Linked DNA regions of Macaca fascicularis. The main gene of each other region encodes a partner of the protein of the gene in region 2 in a complex. Links are inferred from orthologs where the notes say so. Each region holds a gene or a part of one and is shown on either strand. Other genes may lie near its edges.

Region 1 (4,503 bases), on a different chromosome or scaffold from region 2:
ACTAGGCCCTAGGCTCCAGCCAACCTGGGTATGTCCCAGTCATCTAAAGAATAAAGGCTGGCTGCAGGGGCTCATGCCTGTAATCCCAGCACTTTGGGAGGCTGAGGCAGGTGGATCACTTGAGGTCGAGAGTTCAACACCAGCCTGGCCAACATAGTGAAAACTCATCTCTACTAAAAATAAAAAAATTAGCCGGGCATGGTGGCAGGTGCCTGTAATCCCAGCTACTCAGGAGGCTGAAGCAGGAGAATAACTTGAACCTGGGAGGCAGAGGTTGCAGTGAGCTGAGATGGCGCGACTGCACTTCAGCCTGGGTGACAGTGAGAGACTCCATCTCAAAAAACAAAAATAGACTCTTACTTCCCCAGCTCCTCGCAATTACACTGCCCCAGGCTCCTCCCTTGTCCCATCTATCCATCCAACAACGACAAAAATCCAAAATTTTCCTCAGCTCTTCCCTAGCACTTACAGCATTCCTATTGATTCTAGCCCAAATAGAACTCAAAACTGTCCCCCTCCTCTCCATCTGGAAGTTGCCTCCTAGTCTGACTCTGTCGCCACCACAGACTTCCCAGCATCCGCCTGCTATGCCTTTGCCTCCACCCCTTCCCATTCCCAGTCAGCAACCTACTGATCAATTAGGGATGGCCCTAGATGCACTACTGCACTGGGTCCCAGAGACCTTAGATTATAAACCCAGACTCCTCATCACAGCCCACAAAACCCTAATTTGGAAGTTGCAAATTCCTAATTTGGCAGCCTGCAGCTGTGATCCACAGAAGGGAATGTTTGGAATGTCTCGGGGATGGGTGGAGACTGGGTCTCCAATTGTCCCATCTGACCCCCAAGGGCCAAACTAAGACTAATGAGCTTCCAGAGGTTGTCCCTATGGTCAAGTGTTAGGCATCTCCCCATAGGGCCTTCTCTAAAGTTGTTGTAACCTTCCCCCAAACAGGACCCCAACCTCTGCTTCAGGAAGCAGTGGGAAAAGACCATGCTTTAGAGTTAGTCCTAAATATCGGCTCATTTAATCAATTTCTGCTCCAGTTTACCCATCTTCAAAATGGAGATAATAATAACACTAATTACCCAAGTGGGGTACTGTGAGAATGAGCTATAAGGCACAGATCTCAATGCTTGGCTCACAGTAGGTGGTTAATGCAATCAATGAAAGCTGTGGTCTGCATTATAAGGAATTAACAGACAGCACTGTCCAGGGAAGACTAGGCTCACTCATAAAGTGTGAAGTTCCCCATCACTACAGCGTGTGCAAGCACTTCTTGGTGCCCAAAGGATTCCAGTACCCAAAACAGGTTGGCCTAACTCTTAAGGTCTCTCCAGCTTCCAGAGATCATGCTCCTCAGTGTCTGACTTTTAGTCCCCACGCTTCAAGTAACACCGACCAGGCACGTGTGCCCAGCGTGCACCCCGCAAGTCGGTCACCGCCTACTGTCAATAAAGTTGATTTGAGGCGGCTCCAGGCAGAGGGGCAGTGCCACCCATACAACCACCTCCGCCCGGCCCCGCGGCCCCTCACCCGGTGGGCGTGGGGGGGGGGGCCGAGTCACGCAGGCGCCGCGCCTTGCCATTGGCCCGCGCCGGGGGAGGCGGGGCTTTCTTACGTCTGCCAGCCCCTCTGTGTTGTCATTTGGCAGCGGATAGAGGACACGATCAAGATGGCGGCGGTATCTGGCTTGGTGCGGAGACCCCTTCGAGAGGTAGGCAGCAGCGCGCGGCCTGTATTCCCACGCCACCCGTGTCCACCCTGCGTCCCGCCATCATCTTCCTCTTTCCCTGCCAGGTCTCCGGGCTGCTGAAGAGGCGCTTTCACTGGACCGCCCCGGCTGCGCTGCAGGTAACAGGCGCGGGCGCTTGTCGGACGAGGGCGGGGAGGGGCCCTCTTCTCTCGGGAAGGGGGCCGGAGTCGCGCCTGCGCCGTGGCCGGCCGGCGCCGTGGGCCTGGTTTGCGGAGCCAGCATCCTCCCTGGAGCTCCTGCTGCCTCTGTCGCCGCCTGGCGCTTATCACCCCGGCGAGTCACTACCTCACAGCTGGCTGGGCAATGGGGGAAAACTAAGATTAGGCGTTTCTTCCCTCACTTCATGTTTTTTTTCCTTTAAATTGCAGCAAAATAGACCTAACTTAAAATGTACTTTTTAGAAGTGTATAATTCAGTGGCATTAAGTACATTCACCATGTTGTACAACCATTAACCACCATCCATTTCCAGAACTTTTTAATCATCCTAAACAGAAACTGTCCGTTACTCGGTAACTCCTCATTTCCCTTAACCAAAGCCGTGGTAACCCCTGTTGTACTTTTCTGTCTCTATGAGGTTACCTATTCTAGAATTTTATATAAGTGGCATAATTTGTCCTTTTGTGTCTGGCTTATCTGAGCGTAATGTCCTCAGGGTTCATCCATGTTGTAGCATGCGTCAGAGTTTGATTCCTTCCTAAGGCTGAATAATATATATATGTATGTATTTTTGAGATAGTCTCGCTCTGTCACTCAGGCTGGAGTGCAGTGGCGCGATCTGAGCTCACTGCAACCTCCACCTCCGGGGCTCAAGGGATTCTCGCGCCTCACACTCCTGAGTAGCTGTGATTACAGGCGGGCGCCACCACACCTGGCTGATTTTTGTATTTTTAGTAGAGACAGGGTCTCACCATATTGCCCAGGCTGGTCTTGAACTCCTGGCCTCAAGTGATGTGCCTGCCTTGGCCTCCCAAAGTTCTAGGATTACAAGCATGAGCCACCTCGCCTAGCCCCACATTTTCTTGTTTTTGTTTGTTTGAGACGGAGTTTTGCTCTTGTTATCCAGGCTGGAGTGCAATGGCACTATCTCGGCTCGCTGCAACCTCCGCCTCCTGGGTTCAAGCAGTTCTGCCTTAGCCTCCTGAGTAGCTGGGATTACAGGCGCCCGCCACCACACCCGGCTAATTTTTTTATTTTTAGTGGAGGCCAGGTTTCACCACGTTGATCCAAACCTGCCTTGGCTTCCCAAAGTGCTGGGATTACAGGTGTGAGCCACCGTGCCTGGCCTTGTTTTGTCTATTGTGAATAATGCTGCTGTGAACATTGATGTGCAAGTATATGCTTGAATCCCTGCTTTCAGTTATTTGGGGCATATACATAGAAGTGGAATTGATGGATTGTATGTTAATTCTCCTCTCCTTCCTTTTTTTTAAAACTATATTTTACCATTCATTATATTAAAATAGCAACTCCTACATTCTGGATGCAAAGTGTTTGGCACCTAGTGAGTGCTCAGTACACTAACACATACAGTCAAAGACCAACTATGTGTGATAGAAATGTTACTTTTAGAATCCTTTGAGTTTTTAAAGAGAAACTTGTTCTAGTGTTTTTATATTGTATGCTCTGGGCAGCCTAGGTAAATATAAAGGAAGAAAATCTTAGTTGAATCTCAAACAATTCTTATTGACTGTTTTTGCATACCTGTGACAGGTGACAGTTCGTGATGCTATAAATCAGGGTATGGATGAGGAGCTGGAAAGAGATGAGAAGGTATTTCTGCTTGGAGAAGAAGTTGCCCAGTACGATGGGGCATACAAGGTAACTAAAATATGTGAAAGTTATACAAAATTGAGGTCACTGTTACCCCCAGATACACTTAAGGGATCAAATCTTAATTGTAGGTTAGTCGAGGGCTGTGGAAGAAATATGGAGACAAGAGGATTATTGACACTCCCATATCAGAGGTAAGCCTTCCAGGGGGAAGCAGACCCTAGAGGGCATGTCTGTTAGTGTCCACTGTCTTCATTTTTATGGATTTTCACTTATGTTTATATTTTACTTTATAGATGGGCTTTGCTGGAATTGCTGTAGGTGCAGCTATGGTATGTAATACTCTTTATGGGAAGCTTATCCAAAGACATTTCTTGTTTTCTTTTGAGACGGAGTCTCACTCTGTCGCCCAGCCTGGAGTGCACTGGCATGATCTCAGCTTCCAGGTTCAAGCGATTCTCCTGCCTCGGCCTCCATAGTGACTGGGATTACAGGTCGTGCCACCACGCCCGGCTAATTTTTGTGTTTTTAGTAGAGATGGGGTTCTACCATGTTGGCCAGGCTGGTCTCGAACTCCTGGCCTCAAGTGATCTGCCCACCTTGGCCTCCCAAAGTGCTGGGATTACAGGCGTGAGCCACTGTGCCCATCCCCAAAGATATTTAACATCACCTTTTAAAAACATTTGGGAAAAAAACAAAACAATTCCAAGTAGGTAGATGTGGTGGTGCTTGCCTGTAGTCCCAGCTACTCTGCATGCTGAGGCAGGAGGATTACTTGAGCCTAGGAGTTACAGGCTGCAGTGAGCTATGATGTGCGCCACTGCACTCCAGCCTGGGTGACAGTGAAACCCTGTTTATAAAAAATAAAAACATTATTTGAATGTTGGAAGACTTGGAGTGATTGTTTGCTAGTCTTTATTGCTGTTTCTAGTCTTTTTAACATCCACATTTTTGATTTTACAGGCTGGGTTGCG
Region 2 (3,725 bases):
AAGGTCAGGAGATCAAGACCATCCTGACTAACACGGTGAAACCCCGTCTCTACTTAAAATACAAAAAAAAATTAGCCGGGCGCGGTGGCGGGCGCCTGTAGTCCCAGCTACTCGAGAGGCTGAGGCAGGAGAATGGCATGAACCCGGGAGGCGGAGCTTGCAGTGAGCCGAGATTGCACCACTGCACTCCAGCCTGGGGGACAGAGCGAGACTCTGTCTCAAAAAAAAAAAAAAAAAAAAAAAAAGGCTTTGAGCATGTTCTAGAGCCTCCTGCTATTGGCTAGGCAGATTTCCATCTCATGCTCCTTTCTCGTAGTGTGTTGTGGGGCTGGCAGCCACTTCTACTTCACAGATCCTGCTAGTGTGTAACAAAGTTGACAGGCACCAACAACCTCTGCTACCCAAACCCTGAGGCTCTGCTGGGAGTATGACCACTTGGGGTCTATCACCAAGTGGCTTGCTCATTCTACACTAGCCCACTTCCAGGAGATGGCTCTGAACACTGAGGGATGGGGAAACATTGAGGATCCTTGATTGGTTTGGTGCAGTAGTTAAAACGGGCGAGTGGGGAGCTGGCTCCATGATAAGAGTAGCTATGTACCTTTAACTGCTCTGTGGCTCAGTTTCCTTGTCTGCAAAATGGGCAAAACAGTAACACCTAACTCAGAATTGTGAAGGTTATGTGTTTGGGAAGTCATACATTCTACAAATCACCATGTCTCCAGCCAGGGCTGGCCCGCATGTATTCTTTTCAGGAATTGGGAGAGGTGGGGTCAATATCCATCACTCAGGGCCTGGCACTCCCAGCCTTAGGGTCCTGACAGACTGCTCAGCCCATTGTATCCAAGCTGTCATCTTGGTCCTGCTCTAGTTCATTCTACTCATTAGCTCTTATTTAATGTTACTACATCCCACCCTTACTTCCCTGTCTCCCCACTTTCTGACATTTGCATCACTGCCCAAACATACATGGTATGGCACTGAAGTGACAACTTCAGAAACCTTGTGTCTGGGCTGTGGAACACTAATTTAGGGAGAACACCCAAACCTCCTAAGCCTATACTAGTGCTGAAGGAACTGAAACCTCTTTAGGCCAGTCTCCCTGTTACCATCTCCCTCACTGCCATACACTGAAGGGAAAGATCCTTAGGACTGAGCAAGACTAAGATTACAAGCTTCAACCATACTGTTTGTGTAAGACACACACATTAAATGCCTATTGTATACATGACATTCTATGCTGGACACTACGGGGATCCCCAATCTGTTCCTTCAAGGGACTCATGATTAATGGGGGGTGGGGAGGAGGGACAGAATTAACCTAACAAAAAGGCAGTGTAGTTGTCATGATGAAGACAGGCGAAAGCAGAGGAAGCACCAGGACAGACTTCCCCCAAATGAGAGAAATGTGGGCTTCCCAGCAGGTGAGCTACCAAGACCAAGCTACCCAAAGGAGCCCTGCTTGCTTCACTCTGCTTCCATCTTGTGCACCTCAATTATCAGCTACCCACTAACAGCTTCAGCAGGCACACGGGAGGCAGTCTTTGAACTTCCAGAGATAAATGTCATTAGCCCAGAGGCCTTTAGAGTCTTACCTTCCCAGATCTACAATAGGCGGCAGCAAACCTTGTCGCCTCTCGGACGCACAAGATATCCATTCCATCCACCTGTTAATAAACGGGAGGGGCGAAGCATGAATCCAGCTGCCCCAAACCATTTTACTTTCACATCACCTGCTTATGTTTGAGAACGAAACTCTTCAATGTTTCTAAGATTGTCAAGGGTCTGCACAAGGACATACCCCTGGCCTTGGCCCCGGCCCCACCACAGGTGTCCTTACTCTCAGCCCAGGAATGAAATCGCCTCTCTTGTAGTAATCAGTGCTGGCTGCTGCTCTCTCAACAGATGTTCCCATTCCATAGCGATTATTCTCACAGATGAAAATACAAGGTAATTTCCACAAAGCTGCCATGTTGTAAGCTTCAAATATCTGGCCCTGGAAGTAGTTATGAAAAGGGGTTTCATTTGGCTTCTTTCTCTAGGATCCATCATCTGTAACAGCTGCTGCTCTGCCTGGCACAGAAAGCTTTCATAAAGCACAGAAAGCCTCCTCTTCTAAAACCGAGCTTTGGGCTGGGCACGGTGGCTCAGCCATGTAATCCCAGCACTTTGGGAGGCCGAGGAGGGTGGATCACGAGGTCAGCAGATCAAGACCGTCCTGGCTAACACGGTGAAACCCCGTCTCTACTAAAAATACAAAGTAGCCGGGCATGGTGGCAGGCGCCTGTAGTCCCAGCTACTTGGGAGGCTGAGGCAGGAGAATGGCGTGAACCCGGGAGGCAGAGCTTGCAGTGAGTGGAGATCGTGCCACTGCGCTCCAGCCTGGGCAACAGAGCAAGACTCTCTCTCAAAAACAAAACAAAAAAAACAACCAAAAAACCGAGCTTTGGATGGTGAGGGAAAGCGGGGTGGGTGACAGATAAGAAGCAGCAGGCATCATACTCTTGCAACTAAGAAAGATGACAAACCAACTACTACTTGTTTCTTTGGGGCCATGCTAGCAGTAAGGAACACACTGGAAAAAAGATCAGTATGAAATCTATCGGGCCCACTGGATAGTCAGAGTGAACCAGCACCTAAGAATCAGCCTCTAGAACAGGGCTTCACAGAGTACCGGCCACAGACTGGGTATTACTCGGTACCAAAAGAAGCACAAAAAGAAGCACAAAAACTGAATTAGGACTGAGACGCTATTACCCGAATTTGACACTGCCAGCGCGGACATCCAAGAGAATGGGTCTGTATCATTTTGCAATAGGTTAGGGGAGGTCCTTTATCAAGCACTGATATAGAGCAAAGGTGAGCTCCTTCACAGGAATGCGCCCCCCTAAGTCTTTTGTGAAACAATGCTAAAAGGTCACTCTCTAATCTGGCCATAAGTCAACCAAATTTGAGCTAGCCATAGGAATTACTATTTCACCTAATAAGCAATAAGCTGCTGCTTTGGAAATTCAACTGTGAATATTAAACACTTTGAAAATAAGACCGTTATTGGAAAGTTAAGAGACATAATTACCTGGTTAGCAGCACCATCGCCATATAAAGTCAGGCAGACCTCATCTTTTCCATTATACTTACAGGCTAGAGCAATCCCAGCGCCCAGGGGCACCTAACATTAAGGACAACCGAGAAAGGAACCATAGAAATCCATGAGGGGAGATATCAATGCCCTGCATTTTAACTCCTGGTCAGAATCTGGCACAGAAATTACACTGCTGCTACAAACTCTCCTTCCAACCCCATCTCTCTGTTTATCCCACCCCCGATATTTTCAATGAAGCAGTAAAGTAATATATAAATACTATGTTCTATTTTAACCAGTAAGCAATAACATTTCTGCATTCAAGAGTTAAAAAATAAAACGTGGCCGGGCATGGTGGCTCACGCCTGTAATCCCAGCACTTTGGGCAGATCATGAGGTCAAGAGATCGAGACCATCCTGGACAAGATGGTGAAACCCTGCCTCTACTAAAAATACAAAAAATGGCTGGGCACGGTGGCGCTTAACTGTAGTCCCAGCTACTTAGGAGGCTGAGGCAGGAGAATTGCTTGAACCCGGGGGTGGAGGTGCAGTGAGCTGAGATCACACCACTGCTCCAGCCTGGGCGGCTTAGCAAGACTCCATTTCAAAAGAAAAAAGGGGGGAAAAAAAAGTAGGTTTTTTA

Evidence for each region.
Region 1: the proteins of PDHA1 (region 2) and PDHB are in contact, whole or in part, in a crystal structure (PDB 3EXE), measured with the Homo sapiens proteins. The link is inferred for Macaca fascicularis from reciprocal best matches to the Homo sapiens genes PDHA1 and PDHB. Residues at the interface, in NP_000275.1 of Homo sapiens: Ile87, Arg88, Gly89, Phe90, Glu137, Leu138, Thr139, Gly140, Gly148, Lys149, Gly150, Gly151, Met153, His154, Asn164, Gly165, Ile166, Val167, Gly197, Ala198, Asn200, Gln201, Gln203, Gly228, Met229, Gly230, Thr231, Arg235, Ala236, Asp296; in NP_000916.2 of Homo sapiens: Glu59, Gln62, Tyr63, Ala66, Asp84, Pro86, Ile87, Ser88, Glu89, Met111, Phe115, Gln118, Ala152, Gly153, Val154, Ala155, Ala156, Gln157, His158, Pro297, Val323, Arg324, Val325, Thr326, Gly327, Ala328, Asp329, Val330, Met332, Pro333.

The regions. Positions count from the first base shown.
Region 1 is NC_088376.1:121,524,280-121,528,782, reverse strand, and holds the start of PDHB (pyruvate dehydrogenase E1 component subunit beta, mitochondrial), read left to right. Parts: upstream 1-1,643; 5' UTR 1,644-1,676; coding exon 1,677-1,718; intron 1,719-1,801; coding exon 1,802-1,855; intron 1,856-3,469; coding exon 3,470-3,577; intron 3,578-3,660; coding exon 3,661-3,723; intron 3,724-3,825; coding exon 3,826-3,861; intron 3,862-4,492; coding exon 4,493-4,503. UniProt on the Homo sapiens protein: The pyruvate dehydrogenase complex catalyzes the overall conversion of pyruvate to acetyl-CoA and CO(2), and thereby links the glycolytic pathway to the tricarboxylic cycle.
Region 2 is NC_088395.1:19,221,662-19,225,386, reverse strand, and holds part of PDHA1 (pyruvate dehydrogenase E1 component subunit alpha, somatic form, mitochondrial), read right to left. Parts: intron 3,170-3,725; coding exon 3,077-3,169; intron 1,997-3,076; coding exon 1,841-1,996; intron 1,668-1,840; coding exon 1,596-1,667; intron 1-1,595. UniProt on the Homo sapiens protein: The pyruvate dehydrogenase complex catalyzes the overall conversion of pyruvate to acetyl-CoA and CO(2), and thereby links the glycolytic pathway to the tricarboxylic cycle.